Danio rerio: one gene and its partner. The main gene of each other region encodes a partner of the protein of the gene in region 2 in a complex. Links are inferred from orthologs where the notes say so. Each region holds a gene or a part of one and is shown on either strand. Other genes may lie near its edges.

Region 1 (4,334 bases), on a different chromosome or scaffold from region 2:
ATACTTCATGTGCAGCCGTCGGTAAACATATCTGAAGCGTTTTATATCAAAATCACAGAGATATAAAAGCGTTAAAGATTATTTCAGCTCGGTTAACGGAGGATGTTTGGCTAATTGTGATGGTAACCATGAGGAAGACGCTTTCTCCTAGTAACCGCGACAGGAGTTGGGGTGTCGGAAATGAGTGTCGTAAAAAAATTGTAGTTTTAATGTGGTGTAGATTTGTAGTAATTTGTGCTTCGAATCTTTGAATTTCGTGGTTAATGGGAAATCGCTGCATTATTTTTTTAGTAACGTTTATTAAAGTAATATTAACATAGTAATAGTGACAAAGCACTTGTTTTAATATTGATATATGCTAATATTGATAAACAAATAACAATTAAACAAAACTAAGAATTTATGAAAAAAATGCTTTATTAAAACAATCATGTTTATTCATAATTTAAATTCTCATTTAAACTATTTATGGTTATGAATAACTAAACTAAAATAAATAAATTATATATATTTATAATATATTTTATATTTACTTACTAACTTTTATATTCATATTAACCTTTATTAAAGCAATTTTACATGACAAATATTACATGCATTTCTGTACATATTTATAACATACAAAGTTGTATTTTAATATGTATTGTTAAAAAATTATTAAATTATAAATATGTACACAAAACATTAATAAATACAAAGTCAGTTTTGACAAAGATAATAATAATAAAAATAATAATGATGATAATAATAATTTTATTAATGATAATAATAATAATAACATATTATGTATATGCATAATATGTTGTTATTATTATTATCATTATTGTATATATATATATATATATATATATATATATATAAAATATGCATTAATCTGGTATTTATGCAGGTATGTTCACTATTATGGAGGACGGATTAGAATGTGGACAGATTAATAATTAAATTAATAACATGGTTATGGGGCATTTATTTGCGTATTAATTAATTTATTATTTTATTTATGCAGAAATGTGTATATTAATTAATTAATTAATTTATTTATTAATTTGCGTATTTATGCATTTATTGTTTTATTTATACAGGAATTTGTGTACTTATTTATTAATAAGTTAGTTAATTTATTTGCTTATTTATTTTTTTATTTATGCACGAATTTGAGTATATTTTTATTTATTTATTTATTTGCGTATTTCTTTGTTTATTTATTTATTTACTTATTGTTTATGCAGGTTTAATCCTCCATATACTATTAAATAAACAAACAAATAAATAAACAAATAAACAGGCAAAAAAAAAATAAAAAGATCGAATACGCTACTGTCGTAAAAAGCGCGCCACGAACCGGAAGTAGTAGTGAATCAAGTGACCAGAGACGAAGCACATTGTTTCGCGGCATGTTTCATATTTGTGTTGAACGAAAAGAAAGTTGCTTCATTTTACAGTAGTTTTATTATTAATATTTCTGAGCTGGGACGAGTTTACGCACAGTGTATCTGCAGGAAGTGCACCAGAAAGCGCTTATTCAAAACAGCATTCAGCAGGAGAGTGTTTGAATGAAGCGTCTCCGTCGAGTTTTGTGTTGATTTCTACATAATTTAGTTTTCAGCGGGATTTTAATTCACCAAACTGAGCATTTAGTGTATCCTGCTGGAGTATAAATGGCTGGGATTCTGTTCGAGGATATCTTTGATGTGAAGGATATCGATCCTGATGGGAAGAAGTTTGACAGAGGTGATTCATTCATTCACTTATTTATTTACTGGATAAAACAAAAGTCTCTTCAATGTGTTTTATAACGTTAGTTATTGATAAAACTTACAAACAGCATGAAGATTTAGATTGAGGAAAAGTTGGTTTATATTCGCACATTCCTTCATTTAACGTTCTCCATGCTCACATGTAAATCACATGTAAACATACATGACTTCACTATTTAAAGTTTGCAAATTATACTTTTATTTAATGATATTATTAAGGAGAAAGTCTAAATGTGCGTATATAAAACTACCTCAATAAGGTTTATTTGTTGGTTCGATTATTTATCACACAATAATAATTAGACTTATTGTATACTTATTAATACTACTTTAATGATGGAAGTTGAAGAGCTTAAAACTTTTTAATTTTTAATTTAGCTCATTTTCTTGATCATATATATTTAATATTTATTTTAAATGGAAAAATATGAATATATTAAATTAAAAATGTATTTTTTTACATTGTCAATGTCAATTTAAATGCAAATAAAACAATTTTATTGTTATTACTATTATTAATAATATTAATTATTATTTGAGATTTTTTTAATATATATTCTCTTTAATATTCTTTTTGTTGATGCTGCCTAAATAATATGCAGTGATCAAAATTAAAAATAAAATCAAAACATACTGCGTAAAAGGCATATCTGAAGGCAGAGCCGTTTATTTAATTACTGTTTTTATATATAGAGGTAAAGTTGGTTTTATATTTGCACATTCGTTCATTTTGCAGTCTCTATATTGTTGACCATGTTACTTTGAGTTTTCGATCGGAATTAGCACGCAAGTATGACTTGTAAACAACATTAACACTGTTTATCTGAATGTGAACAATGTTGTACTTTGATAGTCATTTGCTGCTAACATGATTTCCCTATATTTAGTATTGGCAAATAATACTTTTTCTTAAAATATTATTAAGGAGAAAGTCTGAATATATCCGAATATAAAACCAACTTTACCTCTGAAGATTTTTTTTTATCATACAATAATAATCAAGCTTATTGCATATTTATAAATACTACTTTAATAATGGATGTTGAAGAGCTTAAAGTTTTAATTTAACTTGTACATTTACTTGATCATATATATTTAATATTTACTTTAAATGGAAAAAATATTAATATATTAAATAAAAATTAATAGTATATTTTTACATTGTCTAAATGTCAATTTAAATGCAAATAAAACAATATTATTATTACTATTAATAATAAGTGTTTTTAGTACTTAGAATTTTTAAATCTATATTCTTTAATATTCTTTTTGTTGATGCTACCTAAATAATATATAGTGATTAAAATAAAAATAAAATCAAAACAAACTGCGTAAAAGGCATATCAGAAGGCAGAGATGTTTATTTAATTACTTTATTTATTTATTTATTTATTTATTTTTTTTTTTTATAAATCAACCACTATTATTTTTCCCCCCTAAAAGTCTAGAATTCACTAAACACTCTTGATTTGTTGTTTTGTATTTGTGATGATCAGTGTCTCGTCTTCACTGTGAAAGTGAGTCTTTCAAGATGGACCTCATCCTGGACGTCAACATCCAGATTTACCCTGTTGATCTTGGTAAGTCACTGTTCTTGCTCTCTGTGTTGTTCTCTGGGCTGCATAGAGGTAAAGTTGGTTTTATATTCACACATTCAATCAATGATGTCATGTGCAAACAACCTATAATCCATTACCTTTTTACATTTTCATATTGTTACTTGTCTACTTATCTGTTAATTTGGTCATTGCATAAATAAATGATTAAAAAAAACAAACAAATAAAGTAATTTCTCCAGTGTTTTGTTCAGACGAACGAAATTGTATGATTATAAAAAAGGAGGCGTGGCACCTAACCCCACCCCTAAACCTAACCGTCATTTGGAGATGAGCAAATCGTACTAAAATGTATGAATTAGATCGTTCGAATTCGTACGAATTAGCCACTAAATGAAAAAGTTACGAATTGCCGTGAGATTGTGTTGGTTTTATCAGCACTCCAACAGTATTTACATGTTTTTCCGGTATCCTGCTGCCCTAGTGATGATAATGTTGTGTTGCTGTCATATGCTAATGAGGATGATGTCATTGTGTCAGGTGACAAGTTCAGACTGGTGATCGCCAGCACTCTTTATGAGGACGGGACGCCGGACGATGGAGAATACAATCCTCAAGACGACCGGCCGTCCAGGTCATACATTACTCCTAAACTAAATCTTAGATATTTCATGTCTACGATCAAATCAAATCAGGCCTTTATTTACACATACACTTTCGTATAGTGAAATAGAACCCCAAAAATGTAAATTAATTACTAATGACATCATTAAAGTTGTTTAAATGACTTTTCTAGTGTCATGACTGATGGGCAACTTTTTTTAATCAATGAGGAATTGTCTTAAGTCACTGCTACTTTAAATCCACAGAAAGGTCAACACACAGACAATAGTAAATGAAACTCGGTGGTGTTTGTTGTTGTTTTGCAGAGCTGATCAGTTTGATTATGTAATGTACGGAAAGGTTTATAGGATTGAAGGAGATGAAACGTCTACAGAAGCCGCCACACGACTGTGAGTGT
Region 2 (4,415 bases):
CTCAGACTTCACATGTAAATCACTTGCGTTTCATCTGTGTCTGCTTATGACACAGGCTGGAAAACGTTTTTACCCCACTCTCATGTAATGTTAGGACTGTGAGGGCACAGGTGAGAGACCCTTTTTTCGAGAGATACATCACGTGTATGCAACATCTGTAAGTCATGTAAGACAATTAATTGCAAACTGAAATGAATATAATTTAATTATATGGTTTGGAATTGGGTGTTTTATGAAATTATTAAAAAAAATTTGCAATTATTTTGCATTTAAATAGAGAATTTTTTTTCTTTTTTTGTGGATTTTACGATGGATTAAGGGATTGCGGAACCATGAAAAACTAGGGGGTCTGAAAAACATTGCAGTGTCAGATTTTTCCAATATTGTGCAGCCCTAGTCTTCTTTTGTAGCATAAATCTGATTAAAATGGCTTCTTGAATGTTGATTGCAGAATTGCAAGAACATTTTGCATCTCCTACCCAATGTTGAATAAACCTTCTAATATTTATTATAAAATTTTATTAAACGGTTATAAATAATGACACAATTTATATCAAGCTATCTTTCAAGAATGATGTTTGTGTGAATTTAGGGAGGCTTTACCTATTTTTTGACTGTGTCCGACTCCTAAATATACATATTAATATATAAATATATATATATATATAAATAAATAAATATATATATATATATATATATATATATATATATATATATATATATATATATATATATATATATATATATATATATATATATATATATATATATATATATTCAGCTTCAATTATATTAATTCCTATAATAATTTAGCCTAGTTTTCATTTTTTGTGTATGTTTACAAAAGTTTAATAATCCCTTGCACATCTATTTATCTATTATTTGTCATTTCTATTTGAAAATATATACATATTGTTTCTGTCTTTAAATTCTTGTCAACTGTTACATTGGTTATATACATTTCATAATAATAGTTTCATAATCTTATATGGTATACACTGGTGTATACCATATTTTTATTTATGAATACAACACAAAAGTGTACTCATATGTTTTAATTCAGTCATAAGTTTATATATATTTGTATTTTATATTAAAAATATAAGATGTTTTTTTATATTAAAAAACTAATATGTGTATCACATAAATAATATCCAATACAGTTTATTATTGATCATTGCAGAGTAAAATTACTTTCTTGTTCAATTCTGCATCAGGTCACGTGTCTGTGTCTATAGCAGAGATGCCCAAAGTAGGGACTGGTAACCTTTGATTTGGCCCACCGTCTGATCTGTAAAGATAGGGAGAATGATGGGAAGGTTGTTGGGACGAATACCTTTGTTTTTATGCGTATCACTACTGAAAAAAACGGCTTAAACCAGCCTAAGCCTGTTTTAGCTGGTCAACCAGGCTGGTTTTAGAGGGGTTTTGGCCATTTCCTGGCTGGTTTCCAGCAATTTCCAGCCTGGTCTTAGCTGGTCAGGCTGGGAGATGACCAGCTAAAACCAGCTTGACCAGCCTAGCCAGGCTGGGAGCCCAGCCAAAACCAGCTTTGTCCAGCTTAAACCAGGCTAGTCTACCAGCTAAAACCAGCCAACCAGCCTAGGCTGGTATAAGCTTTATTTTTCAGCAGGCATGCTGATTATGTTTCAATAAATCAGACTTTTAAAATTTAAATAGGGTCACATGAATGATAGAAGACAATGCACAAGTCATTGGTGGCAAATCAAGGCAAAGGCTCGACTAGTGTATTCAGAATTGAACTCCATTGTGTTATAAATGTGATTGTTTATGTTTTCTACGTATTTTTTTATATTAGTGAACTAATTAGGAAACTACCCATGGTAAATTTAATGTATTATGGTTTGGAATAAATATATATTCGGTTTGGTATATATTCGGCCCACAGCCCTCAATTAAGGTTGATTTTTGTCCCGTTATGAGAAAAAGTTTGGGCATCTCAGGTCTGTAGAGTACCCTGCTAAGTGTACTTGCATGAATGAAATCCAATAGCGCAGCATGCTAAACTTGCTAATAAAACTCCATACGTGAATCATATGTGTATGAAACCATAGCCAAACAAAGTTCCAAAGCATTGTTATTCAGTTTAGCCTGATGTTGTTGTACATACTCTAAAAAAGCATCGTTAACATAACTCCAAGTTGTCAAAACAACTAGCATCTCTGCTAATGTGATCAAACGGTCTCGTGTTCTGACTAATCAGAGGCCGCTGTGAGCATCACGTGACTGCGAGCACACAGAGTGGAAGTGCTTGTCTCAGTGAGAGACTCTCCGCTCAGCGTTTTGAAATGTTGACGTGTTGAAAGAGATCAACACTGATCTTACTCCAGCCGCGATTTCAAAACATACTAACTATTTATATATATTTATTATCCATCTATGCTATTACTTCTTAGTTTAAACAGAATAGCTGTGTCAAACACGCGCGACAAAGCGGTTTTATATTAAAAATCCACCGGCTTCCGATATGAACCAGCGGTCCGCCATTTATACACTGTTTATCGGCTTCAACCTCCGTTTCTGATCGCTAATAAATCAGCTAAAACGCTTTATGAGGATGGACTCACAACCAATTCTTACCTCTCAACCAGCTGAGATAGAAAACACTGCCTTTTTCGTCTTCATCCTGTCCAGACTTCACGAAGTAAGTGCCCTTTAGACTCAAAATGCTGCCTTCAGGAGTCAATTGTTTGATTTATGCTAGCTTAAACTGTTCAGAATTAACAATTTCCGTCTAATATCCGTGCAGAATTGTGTAATTAGGTCGCAGTGTTGTATTTTTTAAATCCTCCTCATTGGGGTCTTCATAGTAATTCTGTTGCAGTTGGTAAAGTCCATTTAGGGGTCGCATAATATCCCGAGACGGCTAAATTTGCTAATATAAACGGAGTTGTGTGTGTTCATTACAGGCATATTGGTGATGACTGTGTTTTACCAGAGGTGAAAGTCCACAGTAAGCAACACTGTTGTTGTGTTATTGGTGCATGTGTCTGGTGATAAGGTTCAGAGCACATTGAATACCCTTTGGATTTGTCAAATAGGTCTAAGAGTGCAGAAAGGGTCAGAAAGTGCCACATGGGCTTCATAATCTGCCTCTTACTAATATATTGTGAACACTTCATCTGTCAGCAAGTGAAGCCGAGGTGTCATATAACATATGTTCATACAAGTGCTTGAATATTAATCTAGTGTATAAGGTTTGAAATGTGCAAAGATGTTGAAACTGCTTGAAAATGTAATTGTGTTGATTCATAAATACTTCCTGTTTAGTAACAAATAAATAAGTAAAACATAATAAAATATATTATCTTAAACTCATTTTAAGAGCCGACTCTGTGCTGATGTTCATCTGCGCCTTTTGATTAAGCCGTGATTGAAGAAGGAATGCATGGAGATTCCATTTCATGAGTAAACAAAATAAATCAATAAAAAAAAAAAATTAGCACATTTCAGATGGGAGTAAAAACATTTAAGAGAGAGAATGACTGATTCAGTGTTGGGCTTGGGGCAAACATGCCATTTAAATATTTTCCATAGATGAAGAATTGCACAGTATTTGGTTTCAGCATCGATATCGCAATTTGTGTATCTGCAATAGTCACATCGCAGGATCTGCAATGTCAAGTTGGGATTATAATAACCAGGCAACCACCACAGTTCAGAACATGAGATTTGTGTGGTCATAACAGAGTTTAACCCTAATAAAAGTGAAAGATTTAATGTGGATGTGTTTTAAAGACATGATATATTATCTATCAATCCATCCATCCATCCATCCCTCTCTCTCTCTCTCTCTCTCTCTCTCTCTCTCTCTCTCTCTCTCTCTAATTCAGATGAATTTGTAAAGTGTTTTAAAGGTTTGAAAAATGCACCTGGGGTATGTGCTTGAAATGAAAAGTGCTTAATATCCTCATCAAATAAAAGTGTACACTTATTTATATATGTGTATAGTTCTAAATGATGTAACTGTGCACTTCATAATTTGTAAATTAGTTTGTCTTTGTAAAGTTTAATCAAATACCATAACCTACCTTTCCCCAATTGCCATTTACATGTCCTTTAGGGCAGAGCTGTCTTTTAGGGTGGAGCTCTCATTCTTTTAGGGCAGGGCTGTCTTTTTTTTTTTTTTTTTTTTTTTTTTTTTTTTTTTTTGGAGTGAAGCTGTAAGTCCTTTGGGGAGGGCCTATCAGTGCTTTAGGGCAGAGCTATTCATTCTTTAGGGTGGGGCTATCAATTCTTTAGGGCAGGGGTGTCCACACTCGGTCCTGGAGTGCTGGTGTCCTGGAGAGTTTAGCTCCAACCTTGATCAAACAAACCTGAAGCAGCTAATCAAGCTCTTACTAGGTATACTAGAAACTTCCAGGCAGGTGTGTTGAAGCAAGTTGGAGCTAAGT

The links.
Region 1: taf1a (region 2) and polr2h share a complex: the UniProt entries of both Homo sapiens proteins name them as parts of the pol I pre-initiation complex. The link is inferred for Danio rerio from reciprocal best matches to the Homo sapiens genes TAF1A and POLR2H.

Annotation. Positions count from the first base shown.
Region 1 is NC_133197.1:38,621,648-38,625,981, reverse strand, and holds the start of polr2h (DNA-directed RNA polymerases I, II, and III subunit RPABC3), read left to right. Parts: upstream 1-1,352; 5' UTR 1,353-1,658; coding exon 1,659-1,731; intron 1,732-3,253; coding exon 3,254-3,337; intron 3,338-3,853; coding exon 3,854-3,947; intron 3,948-4,242; coding exon 4,243-4,326; intron 4,327-4,334. UniProt on the Homo sapiens protein: DNA-dependent RNA polymerase catalyzes the transcription of DNA into RNA using the four ribonucleoside triphosphates as substrates.
Region 2 is NC_133195.1:55,096,397-55,100,811, reverse strand, and holds the start of taf1a (TATA box-binding protein-associated factor RNA polymerase I subunit A), read right to left. Parts: upstream 2,950-4,415; 5' UTR 2,666-2,949; coding exon of another isoform or gene 2,573-2,665; exon of another isoform or gene 2,287-2,572; intron 1-2,286. UniProt on the Homo sapiens protein: Component of the transcription factor SL1/TIF-IB complex, which is involved in the assembly of the PIC (pre-initiation complex) during RNA polymerase I-dependent transcription.